Linked DNA regions of Elephas maximus indicus. The protein of the gene in region 2 purifies or fractionates together with the protein of the main gene of each other region. This does not show direct contact. Links are inferred from orthologs where the notes say so. Each region holds a gene or a part of one and is shown on either strand. Other genes may lie near its edges.

The links.
Region 1: the proteins of DNMBP (region 2) and BIN3 purify together in Homo sapiens (co-immunoprecipitation; 5 studies listed by BioGRID and IntAct, counting the BioPlex papers as one, with this or other methods). This does not show direct contact. The link is inferred for Elephas maximus indicus from reciprocal best matches to the Homo sapiens genes DNMBP and BIN3.
Region 3: the proteins of DNMBP (region 2) and DNM2 purify together in Homo sapiens (co-immunoprecipitation; 3 studies listed by BioGRID and IntAct, with this or other methods). This does not show direct contact. The link is inferred for Elephas maximus indicus from reciprocal best matches to the Homo sapiens genes DNMBP and DNM2.

The regions. Positions count from the first base shown.
Region 1 is NC_064840.1:51,994,945-52,002,788, reverse strand, and holds the start of BIN3 (bridging integrator 3), read right to left. Parts: upstream 3,053-7,844; 5' UTR 2,965-3,052; coding exon 2,957-2,964; intron 1-2,956. UniProt on the Homo sapiens protein: Involved in cytokinesis and septation where it has a role in the localization of F-actin.
Region 2 is NC_064834.1:51,653,392-51,661,032, forward strand, and holds the start of DNMBP (dynamin-binding protein), read right to left. Parts: upstream 3,080-7,641; 5' UTR 2,860-3,079; intron 1-2,859. UniProt on the Homo sapiens protein: Plays a critical role as a guanine nucleotide exchange factor (GEF) for CDC42 in several intracellular processes associated with the actin and microtubule cytoskeleton.
Region 3 is NC_064821.1:28,766,126-28,773,314, reverse strand, and holds the start of DNM2 (dynamin-2), read right to left. Parts: upstream 3,086-7,189; 5' UTR 2,926-3,085; coding exon 2,765-2,925; intron 1-2,764. Other genes in the region: QTRT1 (queuine tRNA-ribosyltransferase catalytic subunit 1), read right to left, coding at 5,834-5,986, 6,068-6,155, 6,237-6,346, 6,448-6,523, 6,724-6,862. UniProt on the Homo sapiens protein: Catalyzes the hydrolysis of GTP and utilizes this energy to mediate vesicle scission at plasma membrane during endocytosis and filament remodeling at many actin structures during organization of the actin cytoskeleton.

The DNA.
Region 1 (7,844 bases), on a different chromosome or scaffold from region 2:
CCGGTGGTGTGTGGAAGAAAGCCCCAATGATCTGCTTCTGTAAAGACTGCAGCCAAGAGAACCACATGGAGCGGTTCCACTCTGTAATACATGGGGTTGCCACGAGTCAGAATCGACTCAATCACAATGGGTTTGGCTTTTTGTTGTTGTTGTTGTTGTTTAAGCCTGAAATCATCAGGTGTGTGGTTCTAGGGAAGGCTACAATACTTGGAGACAGCTAAACCAGATTAAGGTCACTCTTCTTAATTCTATTTAATTCCATAGTATGATAAGGACACATACACACAACACACACAGAGAGAGAAACACTTGGATTAGGGTCAAGAAGTGAATCAATGATCTAAAATGTGACTATCAAATGCCTTCTTCTCAGTAGGGCTGACCACTGAGCTACCTTGCTGAACAAAAATGGAAGGATAGTAGATGTCTGGATAGGTAGATAGAGCAGGAGGGCAGCACGCATCCACTAAATAAACAGGGGGTGGGTGGGCTGCCCGCACAGAGGAAGCAAAGAACAAAGACCTCTCACTCTTCATGCAAAGTCCACAGTGTGCAAAGGGCATCAATATTGGACATTTCTCAGTGTGACATTTTGAAAGCCCAGCATAGCCCAGAACAATGGTTACCCTCTGGGAACTATGGGCTATATTCAGTGATAGCTGGCATATCCCATGTGCTTGGTGAACCTGACCTTGGGCATCAGCCTCCCATGATGGCTCTACGTCACTCTGGTCTCTTCCCCCACTGAGAATTCCAATCTTAAATGAATGGATGGATTCATTCTGGGAGCAGGAAAACCACTCTGGGAGTGAATCAGAAGGACCCAGCTCTGGTCCCTTTGCCAGCCATTGAGCCAGGAACTGAGTGCAATTGTGTGCCAAGGCGCCGGTGCTGTTCCTCTGTCAGGGAGAGAGGGTCAGGGTCCACGCAACAGATGACGTAGAAGCCCTCTTAGGAGGAAGAGAAAGGAATCTCAGCTTTGAGGGGACAAAGCCACCCTTTTGGTTGTGACCCTCAGTCCAAGAAGATGCCAAGATGTGCAGTGTACTGGTAAATTAGTTCTACTGGATGAAAATCTCAGTTCCTGCTGTACAGTCAGTAGTCAATTTCAACTGTCTCCACCCTGTTAGACTTTAGGAAATGGGCTAATAGTTTTTCAGAAAAGAAACTTTCTGCAACGCAGGTGAAAACTTGCCTCAGATCACCCAGAGAACCATTTACCTTTAGTGGTCTCTGCTCCATCTTCTCCCAATTTGTGCTGATTTTTAAAAACTGTAAATGGCAATCTAAGCACTAGAACGTATCTGTACTTTCTGCTTTTTTACTTTGCAAAAATCAGGCAAGAGAACTGCAGGGATTCAAGATGTAGCAGGCAAGAGTATATCTACACTGTAAGGTTGGAGAACCAGACTGACACTTTAAAGAAGCAATTCCTCTAGGAGATGGAACTGAAGAACTGCCAATTTGTCCATCACTAACTAGGTTGTAACAAGATGGGAAAGTTAGCTTTTTAAGGCTCCAGCCCCCATCAGCCTCCTAGAGCAAAATGTGGAGGGAAAGGAGCAGCTCCTCCCGGGGCTTATTAGGACATGGCTCCAGGCTTCCCTCCACGTGCTGGCACTGACTGTCTGACATTTGTCTATCAATCTTAGTCTGAGAAGCAAGGGAGGGGAGCAGCAATAGTTTAAATTTTACTTTAGAGAGCTGGCCTTGACACTGACTGACACATCAGCTGGTTGTGGCCAGAGCTTATTCTCCACTGATCACCAAATGTTAGCCTGCAAAAGCCTTCCTCCAGAATATTCTACTATCTTCACTCATTCTCAAGTAACTATTGTATATTTACTTTGTGTAAAGAATCAGGCTAGCCTCTGAGGACAAAGAGGCAAACATGGTTCCTACATTAATGGAACTAAGATTCTAAAAGGGTTGATTCATCTCGTACATCTCTGGGGATCAATGTATTCATACAAGCATATTGTAGTTAGATTCCCTGAGATCTGGTGCTGTGGCTATGCTATGTCAGTGCTTGGGCCTGAGGCAAGGTTCTTCGCATGGCTGGCCCAAGGAAGCCCCAGAGAGCAGGCAAGCCATGGTTGTACCTCCTTTGAACAGTAATAATTCAGAGCAACATATAGGAATTACCTTTTGGACAACTTGAGTCATAAAATAAACTAACCATTAGACATTATCAAGTGTCTATTATGTGCTAAGTATGAAATAGTTCTGCAACAACGTAGCTGTCAGCTCTAGAGTTGTGACTACTACGCTGAGACTCCCTTGCTTCTTTGCTCCAGACATGATAGCTCCCATAATGTTTAAGCTTAACTATGTCTATTTTGGAGGGAGAGAGGTAGGTAATGGTCCCAGAAATGATTCAAAATAGTTCAATCTCACGGGGGAGGGGGGGTGGGCGGGAACGGTAATCCTGGCTCCTCCCAAAAGAGAAGCAAGTTTTCTCTGTCTTGTGAAGGCTGTTAAGTGGTGGAAAGGCTGATAATCTGAAAGGGCATGGGTTTTGGTCAGTGAACGGGTCTCTGACGGCCCTATTGCCACAGCTCTGAGGCTGATGGGAGTGGCGGAGAGATAAGCAAAGGGGAGAAGGAAAAGACATTTACTCTACCCCAAAGGATACTTAAGAGAGGAGGGACCACGGAAGTCCCTTACTCCAAGGAGCTGGAAGAAGACGGGGCCAGCTTCTTGGAACAGGAGGAGTCAGGAAACAGAAGTCTGATGCGGGATTCCAGGATATGGAGGCTTCGGGTGAGCACCCGGAGGAAGGCCCCTTGAACGACTAACTACCCTAGAGCCGGGGCCAGTCGGGCCTTGGTCTAGGGCGGAGGGTCCGTGCAAGAAGAGCAGACGCCGGCGGGCAATGGGACTCAACTGACGCTGGGACAAGGCGCATCGCGAGTCTGGGGCTCCAGCACCCCCTTGCCTCCTGGACCTCACTCACCAGCTCATGGTCCCGAAGCTGGCCCTGCGAAGGCCGAAGCGCCGGCCACCGGGGTCCTCAGCCGCAACTCAGTTCTCTGGGATCACTTCCGGATTCAGCCAGTCTCCAGGAAGTGACGTTAACTTGCCCCCTCTGCCCGGAAGCGGCCCTAAAGGGGCGGGGCCCGGCGCGTTAACCGTTTGCTTCCCGAGGTATTTCTTTTGCGGGTGACCTTCATACTTTGGCCTAGGGGTTAGAGACGCTCCTGTGGGAGAGGGATGAAGACATCTGGGCCCATTTTCTGCCTTAAACACTGAGTTGTAGAATCTTTTTCTCTGTCCACACGTGCCGCTCAACCTGGTAATTACCTCAGTTTTTCTATCTTTAAAGTGATTTCTACTCAAAAGGCTCTTAACAGTAATTGTCCATAAGGGAAGGAGCACCAGTAATGGGTAAAGGGTGTGAGCGAGACTTACATTCACTGATATACTCTTTTGAATCTTATAAATTTTGTAACATGTACATGCATTACCTGTTTAAAACAAACAAACAAAAGGATCTTTTCCCTCCCTCAGGAGGTCACAGGGTTCTGAGCAGGTAGAGCTGAATATAAATAGCATAGGTGCTTTTCGGGGAAGGAGGAATGTTCTGTGAATTTACTCAACAAAAAGGTGCAGTCGATTCAACAAAGGGGTATGAAAAGGAAGAGGCTGCTCCTAGTCTTCCAGTCATTCCTTCTGTGCTCCTCACTACAGAATGATGTGAATGGTTCCATTCTTTCTACTCATTCCTTTAACAAATATTGAGCTTCTACAATGTATCAGGCACTGTGCTAACCTTCAAGGATTGCTGTTGTTGTTAGGTGCTGTCAAGACTGTTCCAACTCAGTGACCGTAAGTACGACAGAAGGAAACACTGCCCGGTCCTACACCATCCCCACAGTCATTGCTATGTTTGTTCCCATTGTTATAGCCAGTGTGTCGACCCATCTTATTGAGGGTCTTCCTCTTTTTCCCTGACCTTGCATTTTACCAAGCATGATGTTCTTCTCCAGGGGTCCCGCCTGATAACATGGCCAAAGTAATTGAGGTGAAGTCTCAGCATCCTCCTTTATAAGGAGCATTCTGGCTGTACTTCTTCCAAGACAGATTTGTTCATTATTCTGGCAGTCCATGGTATATTCAATATTCTTCACCAACACCACAATTCCAATGCATCAATTCTTTTTTGGTCTTCTTTATTCATTGTCCAGCTTTCACATGCATATGAGACAATTGAAAATACCATGGCTTGGGTCTGGTGCACCTTAGTCCTCAAAGTGACATCTCTCCTTTTGAATGCTAAAGAGGTCTTTTGCAGCAGATTTGCCGAACGCAATTATGTCCTTTGATTTCTTGACTGCTGCTTTCATGGGCATTGATTGTGGATCCAAGTAAAATGAAATCCTTTAGAACTTCAGTATTTTCTCCATTTATCATGATGTTGTTTATTGGTCCAGTTGTGGGGATTTTTGTCTTCTTATGTTGAGGTGTAATCCATACTGAAGGCTGTAGTCTTTGATCTTCATCAGTAAGTGCTTCAAGTCCTCTTCACTTTCAGCAAGCAAGGTTGTGTTGTCTGCATATCACAGGCTGTTAATATGTCTTCCTCCAATCCTGATGCCCCATTCGTCTTCATATAGTCCAGCTTCTCAGATGATTTGCTCAGCCTTCAGATTAGTATGGTGAAAGGGTACAACTTTGACACACACCTTTCTGATTTTAAACCATGCGGTAGCCCCTTGTTTTGTTCAAATGACTGCCTCTTGATCTATGTACAGGTTCCTCATGAGCACAATTAAGTGTTCTAGAATTCCCGTACTTCCCAATGTTATCCATAATTTGTTATGATCCACAAAGCCGAATGCCTTTGCATAGTCAATAAAACACAGGTAGACATCTTTCTGGTATTCTCTGCTTTCAGCCAAGATACACCTGACATCAGCAATGAAATTCCTCATTCCGCATCCTCTTCTGAATTTCCTTGAATTCTGGCAGTTCCCTGTCAATGCACTGCTGCAAGCGCTTCTGAAAGATTTTCAGAAAAATTTTACTTGCGTGTGATATTAATGATACTGTTCAATAGTTTCTGCATTCTGTTGTATCACCTTTCTCTGGAATGGGCACAAATATGGATCTCTTCCAGTCGGTTGGCCAGGTAGCCGTCTTCCAAATTACTTGGCATAGACAGATGAGCACTTCCAGTATTGCATTCATTTGTTGAAACATCTCAGTTGGTATTCTGTCAATTCCTGGGACCTTGTTTTTCGCCAGTGTCTTTAGTGCAGGTTGGACTTCTTCCTTCAATATCATCAGTTCTTGATCATATGCTACCTTCTGAAATGGTTGAACCAATTCTTTTTGGTGCAGTGACCCTGTGTATTCCTTTCATCTTCTTTTGATGCTACCTCTATCGTTCAATATTTTGCCCATAAAATCCTTCAATATTGCAATTCAAGACTTGAGTTTTCTTCAGTTTTTCAGCTTGAGAAATACCGAGTGTGTTCTTACCTTTTGTTTTTCTAACTGCAGGTCTTTGCACATTTCATTATAATACTTTACTTTGTCTTCTTGAACCATCACCCTTTGAAATGTTCCATTCAGCTCTTTTACTTTATCATTTCTTCCATTCACTTTAGCTACTCTATGTTCAAGAGCAAGTTTCAGAATCTCTTCTGACATCCATTTCGGTCTTTTCTTTCTTTCCTGTCCTTTTAATGACCATTTGCTTTCTTCATATATAACGTCATTGATGTTGTCCCGCAACTCGTCTGGTGTTCAGCGTTCAATGTGTCAAATCTATTCTTGAGATGGTTTCCAAATTCAGGTGGAATATACACAAGGTCCTACTTTGGCTTGCATGGACTTATTTTAATTTTCTTCAGCTTCAACTTAAACTTGCATATGTGCAGTTGATGGTCTCTTCCGCAGTTGGCCCCTGGCCTTGTTCTGATGATATTGAGCTTCTCCATCGGTCTCTTTCCACAGATGTGGTCAGTTTGATTCCTGTGTATTCCTTCCGTCACCAATTATCTTGCTGAAAAAGGGTATTTCCAATGAATAGGTCATTGGTCTTGCAAAGTGCTATCATGGCATCTCTGGTGGTGTTTCTATTGCCAAGGCCATGTTTTCCTACTACTGAACCTTATTCTTTGTTTCCAACTTTTACATTCCAATCACTTGTAATTATCTTATCCATGCATCTTGATCGCACGTTTGCTTAATTTCAAACTGCAGAAGTTGGTAAAATCTTCAATTTCCTCATTTTTGGCGTTAGTGGTTGGTATGTAAATTTGAATAATAGTTGTATTAACTCGTCTTTGTAGGCGTATGTATATTATCACTGAGAGCGTTGTACTTCAGGATAGGTCTTGAAATGTTCTTTTTGACAATCAATGCAATTCCATTCTTTTTCAATTTGTCATTCCCAGCACAGTAAACCATATGATTGTCTGATTCAAAATGGCCCGTAGCTGTCCATTTGAGCTCACTAATGCCTAGGATGGAAACCCTGGTGGCGTAGTGGTTAAGTGCTACGGCTGCTAACCAAGAAGTCAGTAGTTCGAATCCACCAGGCGCTCCTTTGAAACTCTATGGGGCAGTTCTACACTGTCCTGTAGGGTCGCTATGAGTTGAAATCGACTCAACGGCAGTGGGTAATGCCTAGGATATCTATCTTCAAGTATTCCATTTCATTTTGGGCAACTTCCAATTTTCCTTCCAGGATACAACCATTAAAAAAAAAACAAGGTTCCTGACCTCATGCCCTTACAGTGCTACTTACCTGCAGGGAGAGGTAAACGGGCAATTACAGTAATAATGTATGGTAGGAAAGAACAGGGTGCTATGGCACCTGCGTAAGGGTCCCTCCAATGCTCCTTATCCACAGCCACCACCTATTAGTGGGGACTTACGGGTTGCTATGATGTTGAACAGGTTTCAGCAGAGCTTCCAGACTACAAGTGACTAGGAATAAAAGCCTGGTGATCTATATCTGAAATTCAGCTAATGAAAGCCCTACAGATCACAATGGTCCTATCTGCAATCAATCATGGGGATGGCAAAGGACTGGGCAGCCTTTTCTTTCATTCAGGACTTTGAACCAGTTTGTTCCAGTTTGAACCCCTGTCAATAATGTGCATTTCTAACAAGTTACTAGCTGATGCTAATGCTGCTGATTAGGGACAAATTCTGAGAACCGCTAGTACAGCAGTTGTTCCCCAAATTTATTATACCTAACAATCACCTGGGGGATCTTGTTAAAATGTAGATTCTGATTCACTATCTGGGGTGGAAATACAGATTTTCAGCAGGGGTTCGATCCAGAACAAACCATTTCAAAGCCCTGGTTTCATTGTGCATGGAGTCACCATGAGTCAAGAGCTGACTCAATTCAATGGCAGCCAAGAACAACAACCTGCACATGGTGTTTTAGTGACTGCTTCCAGGAGGAGTCAATGTATTAAGCAAGTCCTGAGGCTAACCAGGTGAATCTCATGAGGGGTGGGAGTTGGGGTCCACGCAGAGGGAATGTAATCTTGGCTAAGAAGAGGACCGAGGTCCACGCAAGCAGCTGACTTGCAATAGGTTTTTCAAAGTCAGAATTCAGAGCCTTGGGCTCTCACAAGTCGTCTGGGGTCATGGACTGTGTTGACCTCCCCACTCCAAGTACCTTTCTGCCTTAGAAGTGAGAAGAGCAGGCAGTAAGGCCTGTGCAAGTAACTGCTGGGCCACTGAGGACCTTCTTTGTAGGAACTCTCCTCCTTCAAATGGACCACAAGTGTTTCAGGGGCTGCTTGGGAAATAGCTAGGCCACTGAATTAGAGTAGAAGACATATATGACCCCCCGTGATTTGTTCTGACCTTCCAGG
Region 2 (7,641 bases):
ATTAACTCTGGACCAACAAGACTAAGTTATCCAGTCTTGAGAATTAGTTTATTCAGGTGTTTTCCTGAGCTGGGTATAAGAAGGAACTATTTAATACTAAACCGAAATGGTGCTGAGAAACTTTTTAGAAGTACGCTGAATAAATGTTAAGGATGCCTTAGCAGAAAGCCACCCATACTTGCGAATTTCACAGCAGATAATTCGGTAATAATACCATGCATTAACTGACTTTAGAATCAACACAAGAACGAACCTTGAAAATATTCAAGCCTTATCCCTGGCAATAAGTATGCAAGTCTCCACTTGTGATCTATTTTAAGTGTTTTTATCATTTAAATAAATTCCCCAAAGCAAATATCACACAGAAGTATCTACAATTTGAAAAATCAATTTTTGCTTATTTTAGCCAAATGGTGAAAAAGGACTGGGACGTTGAGAATTAAAATGAATTTGAAGATTTGGTATACATCATGCTGAAAGAAAGGGTTTCCAACGGAAGTAGAGGTAAACGACTTTAGTGGCTCTGGAGACTTCCTATGTTACAGTCTCCAGGCAGTCAGAAGATAAAAATCTAAGCCTGGTCCACTTAACGCTTTTCCAGAACCAGAGCCACTCCAAGTCTTACACTGTGCCCTAAAAACGAATATCCACCCTAAGTTTTTAGGAGATCTTACATGGTGATTCAAGAATCATGACTGATCAAGTTCAATCACGATTTGAGAAGAGAAAAAGTAGCATAAGTTCAATCAGTGCTGGATGAGAAGAGGGATGTGAGGAGGGTCTCCGAAGATAAGCAAGGCACCCAGAGAAGAAGGGAACCTGAAAAGACAGGAGACTGATGGAAACAAGAGGAGGGACAGGCTCTACTTTGGGCTGCACGACAAAATAAATAACTTGTACTTATTTGGACGAAGTATCTCTAAAGGTTATTATCTCAGCCGAAAATACACACAGTATGAACACTTGTATAATAGACATCTTACCACATTTTCTGAGTCAGAATGTTCTTGGCTTATTGCAAAAGGTATCTGTTGCACTGCACAGACCCCATTCCCAGGTCAGACTTTGGCTATTCTCCACGGAGCACAAAGCACGCCATTCCAGTCTCGCATCTGTGAACCCTTTTTTTTTTGGTCACAATTAGTGACACGTGTTTCAAGTTAACGTGTAAAATCAGGGAACTTCAGAGATGGAAGGAGGCCCTAGAGATCTTTCCACTCAATATTTTAGGAAAAAATAGGTCCTGCAGGATAAACTAACCTGCTCTCCGCTCCCCACCTTGAATCTATTCATGCCGGGAGAGTAATAAATGCAGCACTAGCTCTGAGAAATCACTGACTGGTGGTGCAATGGTTAAGAACACAGCTGCTAACTGAAAGGTTGACGGTTCAAACCCAGCCAGCTGCTCTGTGAGACAAAAGACCTGTCAATCTTCTCCCGTAAATATCACAGCCTAGAAAACCCTATGGGGCAGTTCTACTCTGTCACACGGGGTCACTATGAGTGGAAATCAACGCAACGGCACCTAACAACAACAAGCTGTTGGGTACTTCAATCTTACAAAATACTACTACAGATTAAACAATCCTACTTTCCCCCTGTAACTCATCTATGTAAATGACAGGAGCTAAACTATGCTCGAACTCTAAATATTAGTGTTACCAGCAATCTGGTGGCTTGCCAGATACTACAGCATTACTAATTACAAAAAGAAAATATTTCAACAAAAGATGCCTGCAGGAGAAAGATAATGGTAATTTGTTTCTGAAAAGATTACAGCCTCGGACACCCTCGGGGCTGTTCTACTCTGTCCTATAAAGTAGCTGGGAGTCAGAATTGACTCGAGGGCACACAACCAAAACCAAGACCAGTCAAGACCCTGAGTGGTACACACGGTTAAGAGCTTGACTACTAACCTAAAGGCTGGCAGTTCAAACCCTCCCTGTGGTGCTGCAGAAGAAACGTCTGGTGATTTGCTTCAGTAAAAGATGAGTCAGCTCAACAGCAACAGGTTAGTGGTTAAAGGTAAGTTACCAATATTACAGGACAGGACTGCCTTCATTATTCTATAAATGAGACAGGCAATAAGGGATAATGCAATTGAATTTAAAGCTGAGCTTTAAACACCAAGCATTCTCCATATCTCCTAATTTGTGGCATATCTGGCCAATTTGTAACCCCAATATGCCTTTATTCAAATCATCCTTTATTCATCATCAGTGAGAATGACAGAACCGTCACTCCTTTCAAGAGAAATGCTTTGAGAAATTGATGCCTGGTGGACATCAGTACCTGCTACCGGAATAAAGGAGTTTGTGAGTAACTAAAAATCCACCCTAACCAAACCTGCATCTCCAACCAAACAGGTCTCCCTCTTGCTTCGGAAACCATCCATCCCTGCCTCCCTGGCCCTGACTCACGGACTCCTATACCGACTGGATGTGTGACTTTGGGCAGGGAAGATGAATTTCTTCATCTGTAAAATAAGAAGGTTGGGCTAATGCTGAATTTCAGCTCTCAAATTCTCAAATTCGCCTCACTGCCTGAATGGCAGGGTGGTGCAGTGAAAAGAGCCCTGGGCTTGACACCAAAAAAGTCCATGCTCGCATCCCTCTGACTGGGGCCACCCAGCCTCTCCAGCTAGGGGGCCTCCCAGGGTCTCGACCTGATCCGGGACGAGAGTGGTTAATCCGAGAAGGGACTCCCGGGCACTCCCGGCCGAGCGCAGCGGCTGCCTTGGGGAAGAGGCCGGTGCAGGCCCGGTCGCGCGGCGCGTCCGCCGGAGCGCGGGAGCCCTCGGCCCGCGGCCCCCGCACAGCAGCTCCGGGCTCCCCGCCCAGCCCTGGCCCTGCTCCTGACCTGCTCTCCGCAGCCCGCCGGTCCCTCGGCGCGGTTGGCAGCCACGGCCGCCAGTCCCTGGCCCGCTGTCACCGCGGCCCCTGGAAGCCGCGGGCGGGTCAATCCGGTCTGACTCAGCGCAGCCGCCCCGCCTCCAGCCTCCCGCTCAGGCTTCCGCCTCGGCCGGCGCGGACCGCGCGGTCCCGGGACGCTCGCTCGGCTCCCTGCTCGCCGACCTCCCCGACGCCCGCCCGGCTCTCGCGCCCCCTGGCGGCCGACTCCCCGGCCCCGCCCGCCTCGGGACGTCAGAGGGGCGGTGCTCCGAGGACCTCCACTGGGGGAAACTGAGGCATTGGGTGCGGAGCTGCCGCGGAGAGCCCCGCCTGGGGCCCGCCCCCGGTGCATCTCCGCGGCTCCCAGCCGTGCCAAGCGGGCCGGGCTAGTGCAGCCTTGGCGCCCGCTGCCTGCCGGGCGCCCTCTGCCTACGTGCTGCCCTGGTTCATACCAAGTCCCTATACTGCTCTCGTCTCCCACACCGCCCTCCAACTCAGAAAAAAGTCAGAATTCAATCTAGAGAAGTTCAGCTCTATTTCTGTCTGTTTGTGGTGGTGTCCTCCTTGCTACCCCGAGGCAATTTCCTTTATCATGTCATACAACAACTCATTTGTTTCTGTTTGTCCCGTTTCTTTTGAGCAAAGTCTCTCAGGACATCTTTGAGAATTTAAAAGCAAAGAATGACAGAAGGCAAGAACTAGGCGGGGCTTAGAGAACACTTCTAAGTCACTCTTGAATCCCTGCAATATTCTCTTTGTGTATTAAAGGTCACGCTGCTTAGCTATGTCGCTTGAATTTCTGTACTTCACCTACGAGATTATGAAGAATGAAGTAAATCTATCGCTATGCGTGCATAACAGAGATAAATCTTATTTCAAAAATTCCATCGGAATACATCCTTTTTCCCTTCTTTTCCTCTGCTTCCTGATGCCTGTGAACACTGTTGGCAGAATACCAAAGTCCTGGGTTTTTGACAAAATTCTTAGCAAATGATTCATTTGCCTCTGAAACAGTGCCTGGTCTCCCCTCAAGAGTAAATTATTAGTATTGCAAATCTAATGCCTTTACTTTTGAAGATACAGTTACTACTAGTTAACTACAATTTTGTTTGCTGTGGTTGCGCTTTGCTAGTGTTTTTTGGATGAAGAATCAAGCATGCCATATAGGAAAGCAAGATGAGCTAAAAACCGATGTAGATGTAAAAAAAAAAAAATTCATGTTAAAAAGAAAAATTTCAGGATTCCTTAACATAGATTAAAATTAATCTGAACTTTTTCTTTCTATCACCTGAGTCAGCTTCAAAATGATCTACTTACTGAATCTGAATCTTTTAAAAAAAAAAATTATAGTATTTTAGGTGAAAGTTACACACAGCAATTAGTTAACACGAGGTCATTCTGGAATAGGGTGGGCCCTAATTCAATATGATTGGTGTCCTTATAAAAAGAAGAGACTGACACGCAGAGGGAAGATGGCCATGATAAGACAGAAGCAGAGGCTGGAGTTATTCTGCCACAAGCCAAGGAACACCTGTGGCTACCAGATGCTGAAAGAGATGAAAAGTGTTCTCCCAGAGCCTTCGGAGAGAGCATGGCCCAGCTGACACCCTGAAGTTGGACTTTAGGCCCTCTAAAACTGTGGGAAAATAAATTTCTGTTATTTTTAGCCACTCAGCTTGTGGCAATTTGTTACAGCCCCCCTAGGAGACTGATACAGTGAGCAAGAGAGCAAGTGCTATGAGATGAGATTGGAAAACAGACAGAGGTCAAGACTGTTCAGGGCCTGGTGAGGCCTGATAAGGAGAATGAATTCCATGCTGAGTCAGTGAATTGATACACTATAAAATATCCTCAATCAAAAGGACGGAAATGAAAATGATCAAGAGATAAATATGTCTGGAACTGCGTTATTAGTAATCTACACACATGTGTAATATTAAGACTAAAAAGAATCCCACCCCCCATAATCCTTAACTAACCAAAACACAGATCAACCTCTGTGCATGGAGATTGATCTCGTTAATTACAACCATTTGAGTGTGTCATCCTTCAATCTCATGTCTTAACCTAAATCCAATCTGTCAAGACACCCTGCCTCTAAAAGTTTCCATCATTGTCACAACGGACTGCATCACTAACAGCCTGGCATGTTTAGGCTCCAAATCAAAGTAAACTCCCCATAGCTCCCCTCTGGAATGTTCCATGCCACAGCCACAAGCTGCTGTTAGCAATGGCAAGCTGGTGAGAGAGAGTAGCAAGCTGCTAAAACGAATCAAAGTTAGGCTTGCTCATGGTACAAACTGTCAATCCTGAAATAGCCACAGGCTTGGCTCTGGAAGAAGCGCAGATAAAGTAATGCATCCTTGCTTCTATTACTGAAGAAGACATGGTCCAACAATTTAGCGGTAGAATATAGAAGGCATCCTAAGAAGGAAGGGGTACAGCATGGAAATACTATTTGCTGTTGGTTAAAATAGTGCCAAAACGTACCTAGGAGTCTCAGGACAGAGGTTCAGGAAGGAGAGGATTAAAGGTGGACCCAGATGGGTATATGGCGGGGGGAGGGGGTGTTCAGGAGAGTTTGGAGGGAGGGTGTCTGTCTGGTGGACTTGGGCTAGGGCACAGGTGACTTCTGGAAGAAGACGCTGGAGGCCATTTAGTTCCTGTTAGGAACAGACCCTGGCTGGCAAGAGTAAGGCCAATTCCTGTTGTTTCCCATACTTTAGTCCTTCTTGTACCACTTTTATGGTTTTTGCCATAGTCTTGTACTCTCAGATAACCATCATAATGCTTCTTGACTAAACGTCATACCACTTTTTTAATTTTTTGTTTAAGGTTTTTATTTAAATTGACTCGTTTTGTTTTTAAGGGGCTGCCTGGGTGGTACAAACATTTAAGCACTAGCCTACTAGTGGAAAGGTTGGTGGTTGGAATCCACTCAGAGTTACCTTGGAAGGAAAGCCAGGCATTCTACTTCCAAAAAGTCTGCAGCCATTGAAAAACCCTGTGGAGTGCAGTTATATTCTGAAACATGTGGGATCGCCGTAAATTGGAACAGGCTAAATACCAACTGGTTGGTTGTTTTTAAAAGGAAATTTTGTATCACACCCATAAACGAAAACCCAGGATAGATTGCAATTCATAAAAACCAAAAGCCAAAGCCATTGCCATCAAGTTGATTCTGATTCATAGCAATCCTAAAGGACAGAGTAGAACTGCGCCATAGAGTTTCCAAGGCTGTAACTCTTTAGGAAAGCAGACTGCTACATCTTTCTCCTGTGGAGTGGCTGATTGGTTCAAGCCGCTGACCTTTTGTTTGGCAGTCGAGCACTTTAACCGCTGCACCACCATAGGAGGTAACTTTTAAAATAAATACAACAGAAACAAAACTGTATTATTAAATTTCAGTTCTGAGACCGAGGCCTACTCTATTTGTTAAAGAATGAAATTTGCCAGCATGATGGTTAATGTTATGTATCAGCTTGGGTAGGCCATGATTCTCGGTGGTTTGGCAGACATTATGTAATCATCCTCCATTTTGTGATCTGATGTGAGCAGCCAAACTGTTGGAACGGGAGTTTAGTTTCCTTGGGGGTATGGCCTGCATCCAGTACAGATGGATGCTCTGACAAAGCTCACGCTCTTTCTGGATCTCTGGTTCTTAGGATGTGAGATCCCTTCAGCCTACTGCCTGACCTGCAGATTTTGGATTCTCTAGTTTGCTGCAGCCCTGTGAGCAAGCAGCCTGCCGCCTGACCTATAAGTTTTACATTCATCAGCCCCTGCAAACATGTGAGTCAGGAGAATTCTGCAGCCTGTTGCCTAACCCACAGATTTGGGACTTGCCAGCCTCCACAACTGTGCGAGCCATTTCCTTGAAATAAATCTCTCTATATATTTCTTTATTCATTTCACTGGTTTTGCTCCCCTAGAGAACCCAGCCTAAGGCAGCCAGTGTTAGAAAGTTAGGACCAAATGCAAACTTTCCCCTTGATCTGTTTAGAAGGATCTAAAGAAGCTGATGAGAGAATAACTTTTTCACTAAGTGATTTATTGTCCAGTCACTGCATCGCCCCAAATTGGCTCCTGTACACCTGAATTGTCTTGAGGGACAGCTTGAGTACCATTGTGATTCTGGACCTGTATTTTGGAAAAACTTGATTTGTCCATGATAACAGAGCCTGTAAAGCATAAAGCCAAGATCCAAACCCCCATCTATGAGGTTTCAAAGTCTATGCTCTTTCCACTGTGCAATGCAGGCTCCCCACTCACCTAGTTTCGCAGCTTTGCTCAGAATAGGTCATGTTTGCCTTCCTCTAACACTATTTTGTCTTGCAGCATTCAAGAAGCATAGGGATGCTGTGACCTTCAAGGTCCCTCCTGAAAATGTGCCAAGAACTGTATGCCACACTCCTGAGGAAGCTGGACTCCTGTGGGGCCTGGCGGGACTGTGCTTCTTTCGATGTGATGTTGGGCCTCCCTACACAGCTTTGGAGTGCATTACTTGTATAAGCAGCTGGGCCACAATGCTGTCTCTTGTTAAACTTGTGGCCAAGTTCATGACCCCCACCCCCAGAGGACAGTTTGATATAAGTGTACTGTGCATTACAGAAATGAGTCATCTGACTTCATACCACACTAAGTCACATCTACATTTAGGCAAGCAATGCAGAGAGCTGAATGATAACACAGATTTTGATTCTTTGGCTTCTGACAGCGCTGATCTCCATCACTTTATACAGTACTGTAA
Region 3 (7,189 bases), on a different chromosome or scaffold from region 2:
CAGGAGAGGTGGGGAGGGAAGAGAAATTCAGCGCTGCCAACCCAGAGCCCTCAATTCCTTAATGAACAGCTTCAAGCAAGAGGACTCAGCTCTTTGAGCCTCAGTTTCCTGCCCTGTAAAACGGAGATCATAACAGTATTAGCCTCATGGGGCTTAAATGAAATTCAGCATGGAACTCGAAGGCACTTAACTCTTATTAGCTTTTGCTGTTGTTCTGAGAGGAACCAGCCCAGTGAAGAGCAGCCCGGTCAGGCACTGCGCTAAGTAAGCACTTCCAACACACCATGTCACTGCATCCTTGCAACAGCCTTGTTGAGGGTCCAGGGCCCCATTTTTAGGAGGGGAAACCGAGGCCCAGAGAGGTCAAACAATCTGCACAAGGTCACAAAGCAAATGAAACAGAGAGAGCTTCACAGAGGCCCACCAGAGGCTGGAAAGGCAGGAAGACGGCCAGAGGGGCTCACAGCCCAGCCTGGTTGAGCCCAAGTTCAGAGGCATATTGACAGAAAACAGCACCTAAGGCAAGCACTGAGATTGTACAATCTCTAAATTGCGCCCTGCCCCCCATTTGAGTGCCCACGGGCAATCTCTAAATTGCACTGCCCCCAGCCCCGACAATTTCAAAATGAACGGATGATGATAGCGGCAACAGGTCTTGTCCAGCTGCCTCAGTCACTTGCCTTTCATATTTGTAGCACCTGGGAAGATCATTTCCTACCTCATCTGGTTCCCCCCGGGCTTGTGCCTAGAGCAGGTATACCCCCACTCCCACCACACACACATACCCACCTGCCTCTGTGTCTATGGTGCTTGAGGCAGGACACTGAGGCAGGACATTGTGTCATGCCAGGTTAATGGAAACCCTGGTGGCATAGTGATTAAGAGCTACAGCTGCTAACCAACAGGTCAGCAGTTCGAATCCACCAGGCACTCCTTGGAAACTCTATAGGGCAGTTCTACTCTGTCCTACAGGGTCCCTATGAGTCAGAATCGACTCAAGGGCAACGGGTTGGTTTTTTTGGTCATTGGCGCTTCCCCTTCAAGTGGAGTGGTACCCAGGGCATATGCCATGCCTACCATACCTTAGATCCACCTCTGCCCAAGCCCACACCTTTCCGCTACACTGGACAGAGGCCAACCCACCAGGGACACAGCAGCACAGAAGGAAATTCATGCGCTGGGATCACAACCCCAGGCCTCTGGGAAGGCAACAGCAGGTCTGGGTGTCCAGCCAGGCTCTGTTGCATACCAGCCCAGTGGCCTTGGGCAAGCGGTGAGTCCTTTCTGAACCTCCCTGCTCATTTCTAAGGTTAGGATGGTAACGAAATCACCCCATGCTCATTGTGGAATGCAACACACGGAACAAGGAAAGAACTCAGCTGGGGCCTGCTCAGTGAACGCTACCCCTTCACACTGATTAACAATAACAAGGACGATGATGTTACCATTGGCAGCCACACAGCCACAAATGGAGTCCCTTCCGGGAATAGCGAAGTGACCAGGAAGGTGGAAGGACAAGAGATGTGGGAGGGAGAGAGAAGAATCAACAGTCCTCAGTGGTTGTAGGGCCTGGTCTCATTCATTAGTTTCCTGAACACTGGAAACAGCCCAGAGAGTGGAATTTGCACACTGCACGGATGGGCAAACAGGCCTCTCCAGAACGGTCCAGAAAAGACTGTATCTCAGCTCTTATCACTGAGGGCTGATGAGGCAAAAAGCCCCTTCCCAGGCTCCAAGGAGTGCTCCCCAATTTGCAGGCTTTAACTTGGGGGCTGGCCCATGATCCAGGGCCCCAGAGCATCCTAACATGGCCCAGGAAAGAATTCCGGGGAAAGTTCCCCAGGTCGTACTTCCAACAGAGAGTTGAACAGATTCAAGCCTCATCCTTTCGCTCTCTTCTCCCCTACTCCTTTTCCCCACCCCCTGCCAGAAGGGTTAGGCCAGACAGATGAAAAGCTAGGAGCTGCTGGGACTGTCATGGTAGACTAGGAGATGGACAGACATTGGATCCACCAGTACAGACAGACAGAAGGATCTGTTTGGAAGAGAGAAGCCAGGGTCCACCAGGGACCCAAATGAAGTGTCATCCCAGGAGAGCAAAACAACAGGGTCCTCCTTGGGTCCAGACAGCCAGTTAGATGGAGGAGACCAGCTAGGGTAACTCGACAGAGGGACGGGTAAGTGCTAACGTCTGTGAGGGGAACGGATAGGCAGCCAGACAGCAGAGGTCATCCTGAACAGCTAGCCAATCAGCAGGGGGCTGCCCGTGGGACTGGACAGATGGACAGCCAAATGGTGGTAGGGAGGTCTCTCCAGGCCAGACACAGCCAGCCAGAACGAGCTGCCCCTGATAAATGGCCAGCCGACTGCAGGGATCACCCCAATAGTTACCGAGGTGGCGCGTTCGCCCCTGGTAAACGGACAGACAGACGGAGTAGAGGGGGACCTACCCCAACCCAAAGGCAACCAGATGGCAGAGTTTACCCGCGAAGGCTGGGAACGTGACACACCGCAGGGGTCAATGGCGCCTCCTGCTCCACGCCCCCCAGACTGTAGGAACGCCCCTGGGGCCTGGGCCGGCTCCCCATTGCCTGTAGGGAGCCCTCTACCCAGAGCGCCCCACAGGGCCCGCCTCCCAGTCCCTGTCCCCGTCGCCGGCACGCAAGCGCCGCAGTTACGCCGGCGGCGCAAGGCGCGCCATTCCCGGGCCGCCCTCCGCGCCCTAGGCCACCGCCCGCCCGCCGTTCCCGCGGCGCTCGCTCACCGGCCCACGAAGTTCTCGAGCACCGAGCTCTTGCCAGCGCTCTGGCCGCCCACTACGGCGATCTGCGGCAGGTCCAGGTGGCAGCTCTGGCCGATGGAGCTGAAGGCGTCCTGCAGCTTGTTGACCAGTGGGATCAGCTCTTCCATCCCGCGGTTGCCCATGGCGCCGGCCGCCCCGGCCCGAGCGCCCCGCGCTCCCCGCCCGCCCCCGACTCAACGACGCGCCCCGCGGCGTCCGCGGCCGTTGCTCCCCGCCCGCCTGGGCCTCGGCGCTCCGCTCGGCTCCCGGCTCGGCCTCACTGTCGCCGCCTCATCCGGTTCTCAGGCAACACCCGACCTGAGCGACCTCCCGCCGGGGCCCCCGGGCTGGGCTTAAAACCATCGCGCCGCTCTTGATTGGTCAACCTGGCTGCCACTCGGGTACTCGAGCCAATGGAAGCGAGGCACGAGTTTACGGCTGAATAAGCCTTCCCCTAGGGAGCTTCTCGTGGACTCATTGGAAGGAAGAACTGTCGTTGTTATGCAAGAACCAATAGCGGCCGGAGCCAAGTTGTCAAGGCCGGGAGGCGGTGTTTCAGGAAAAGGTATGTTGGTCCCGCCCCTTGAAGAGGCATTCTGCCACTTTATTGGTAGAAAAACCCGCCAGTCCGGAAAGCCACCAATGATGTTAGGGCTCGATCCTTAGACACTGGTTTTCCCTAAAAATTTCCCATTGGCTTATATAAATATCACTCCGTTCCTCCAGCCAACAGATCAGAAGAGGGCAGGCTTTACATCTGAATTCTGATTCTGATTGAGAACTGTATCTGTCAATCAAAGTAACTCGTTCTTAACTTGTGATTGTTGGCCGCCTGTTGGGAGACTTCTGGAGTACAGGGTAGCGCTCGCCAAAGGGCGACACCTAGTGGTACGACCCGTCACTCTTCTGAGTTTCAGAGCTCTAGAGAAAAAGGCCTTCCACGAGATGGACTGACACATTGGCTGCAACAATGGGTTCGAACATAGCAACGATTGTGAGGATGGCGCAGGGCAGGGTAGTGTTTCTGTTATACATAAGGTGACTACGAGTCATAACTGAATCCACGGCCCCTAACAACAGGAAAAACTACAAGTCCCAGAATGCATCTCGGCTGCCGGCAGGCAAACCCGCTCTCGTCGCGGTTCGCTACGCACTTTGAAGAGAAGTTGGAGCCGGGCGATGTTGGTGCTCCCTAGCGAGAGACGGTCCATTCCTATAATGTCAAGCTCCATGCCTTTGCAAATAACTGTGCCCTCCCCTAGGAGTATCTTCCGCTGACGCCCCGCGTTGATGCAGCTACCTCTTCAACGTTGTTCCCTGCCTCTTCAACTTTAGTGCATCATGGGTCGTTTAGAAACCCAATGAAACACAACCGGGTCCACTCCCCACGAAGACACGCTATTCTGCAGGCAGAGTTGGAGTGTGGGAACTAGTATTCTTGACCTCTTGGAACAGATGCCGGAGATAGGTGGACGGATTTTAATAAGTTATTCGATCCCTCTGGGCACAGATGGGCCAGAGAATAGGGAACCAAGTGAGGAGGCAGGAGCATTGAAGGGGGAGAGGCAGCAGTAACCAGGGAAATGGAGAACCACTGTGGAAGATGGCAGAGCATGAACCAAAATCCCAGCGCTCAGAAAGACGGCAAAAAGGCCACCAACAAGGTTAGCCAACCTTGACCAGGATCACAGCAACCTGGAAACACCCTAGCTGTCCTTCCAGAAGGGCTGGTTAAATAAGTGCAATAGGGCCGCAGCTGCCATAAAGGAGAATGAGGAAGCTCTCCATGTACTTAGGTGTAAACCAATTTCTCAGATATACTACGAAGAAAAAAAAAAAAAGCAATACAGAAATGTATGTAAAGGACACTAACATTTATGAGAAAATAGGTGTACATGGAAAATTTCTGGAGGAATACACAAACCAATAAAAACTGTTGCACTTTTTGTGCTATTTGAATTGTTGATCATACACATGTATTATTTTTTCAATAACAAACCTTATTTTCTAAGAACGCTGGCTTTGTAATTGGTCATATCTAGGTTAGAATCCTGGGCCTGTTTATTTGCTGAGTGATAATGACTTCATTGCTCTGATCCTCAGTTTCCTCTTCTGTAAAATGAGGAATACAACTCTACGTGCGTCATAAAGTTGCAAGAATTAAATACACATGACTAGCATCAAAAACAGTGCCAAACACAGTGTAAGCTCCAACTAGGCCACACCTATTACCATCACTGTTGACTGAGAGCGAGATTAAGTCAAGTGTATGCAGTCAGGTCCCTAAAGATCAGCGCTTTGAACCCACCAGCTGCTCTGAGGGAGATGTGGCAGTCGGCTTCCGTAAAGATTTGCAGTCTTGGAAACCCTATGGGCCAGTTCTACCCTGTCCTGTAGGGTCACTATGAGTCATAATCAACCACAGCAACGAATCTGGTTTTGTTTTTCACTAACCTAAAGGTTGGTGGTTTGAACCTACCCAGCAGTGCTGTGGAAGAAAGGCCTAGCAATCTGTTTCCATAAAGATTAAAGACAAGAAAATCCTACGGAGCAGCTTTACTCTGTCACATGGGGTCGCTATGAGGCAGGGGTGACTTAACGGAGGGTATGCAGTCATGGAGGTAACAGAGGGGAGGCTGAGAGCGTGAACTGCCTGAGTTCAAATCCTGAGTCTGCCACTCCCTCAGTGGGTGATCCTGAGCGAGCTCCTTTTCCTTTCTGGGCCTCAGTTTTCTCACCTGTGAAAAAGGGAAGAACAAGAGTACCCACCACCAGGGTGGCTGAGGGGCCTGGGCCACAGCTTCCATCTTGGGTACATCCTACACACTGGGCTGTGCCAGGTGCTTTCCAGATACCAGGAGCTGCTGTGGTTACTTGTTATCAGTGTGAGGGGAGAATGTCTGTCACAGTGAAGCTCAGACCAGGAAGGAGACCAAGACTGGATTCCTCCCCAAGAAGACACAGAGTCATGATGTTAGAATGAAAAAACCAAACCTTCAATATCTTCCAGTCCCTCCCTCTTCCCCCAATGCCGGAAGCCCCCTGGCCAGCTCAGCCCAGTGTGATTCCCACAGAGGCCAGGGCTTCGGTGGCCCAGGTGGGGTAGAGGGTGGGGTCCCCGTACATAGTGTCCATGAAGTTACGCACGAAGTCGGGGAAGCGCTTCTCCACGATGCTGGCTCGCACAGCACTCATCAGCTGCAGCTGCAGGGAGGGGGCGACATCGTGAGCCAAGGGAGGCCCAAAACCCTGCCTATTCCCTCACCCACCCAGCCACAGGCCCACCTGGTAGGCAATGTTGTGGACAGTGAGGTGGTGCAGGGCGGCGGTGTTGTCACTGTGGAGCAGTGCATGCAGGAAGGCCCGGCTGTGCCTGTGGTCCAGGGGGTCGGGGTCAGCAATGCTGGGTCCTGCCGCTCCCCCCACCTTCCCTCAACCCCTAGGCCTCGCCTACTTCTGGCAGGTGGGGCAGGTGCACTCAGGGTTGATGGGACCAAAATCCTTCTCATACTGCTTCTTCTTTAGCTGCAGATTCCCAGTGGGCACCAGGGCAGAGCCAAAGCGCTAGGGGAGGAGAGAGGCAGGGGAGGAGGGTCACCCAAGTCTTCACCCTCCCCGCCCCCACCCCCAGCTCCGCCCTTGCCTGCCCCTGCCCAGGGCCTCACCGCCGTCCGTGTGGGGAAGACACAGTCGAACATGTCACATCCGAGAGCCACGCAGACCACCAGATCGGTGGCATAGCTGGGGGTGAGGCCATGGGGGGAGGGGAGCAGTGAACCTCAAACCCTTGGCCTGGGCTTCCTCCCCACCCTCAGGTTTCCTGGGCCTAGGCCATAGTCCCTCAGAACCACCCGAGGGGAGGGCTGGATCCTGCTTAATCCTCCCTCTCCCCAACCCCCACTCCCACATGTGGGGCCCTGTCTCCCCTCTCCCCTACATACCCAACCCCCATCAGGTATCTGGGCTTGTCCTTAGGCAGTCGCGAGGTGCTCAGCGCCACCATCCTCCAGAACTGGCCCTTGCTCTCGCCCCCGCTCAGGCCCCCGATGGCAAAGCCTGGCACGTCCCTCTTGGTCATCTCTGGGGGCACAGGGCAGGATGAGGGGTGGCCAGGCAAGGGAAAATTACTTCCCATCCCTAAGCAGACCCTCAGGAAGGGAGAGAAAGTGCGTGAGCGTGTGTATGTATATGGATGGGGGGCTGCTGGGGACCTTAGCTACCATTTATCGAACGCCTGCTGCACGTAAGACCCTCTCCTTCAATCCTCAGGAGTGGGACATGGGCCCACACTTGCTTACCTAAGACCTTTAGAGCCAGATTTGTTTCAGAAGTTTCTAGATTTTAGAACAGTGAGCATCCTATATGCTGGGTAACAGCCAGTCATGAAATGCTGTACCATGTCTACAG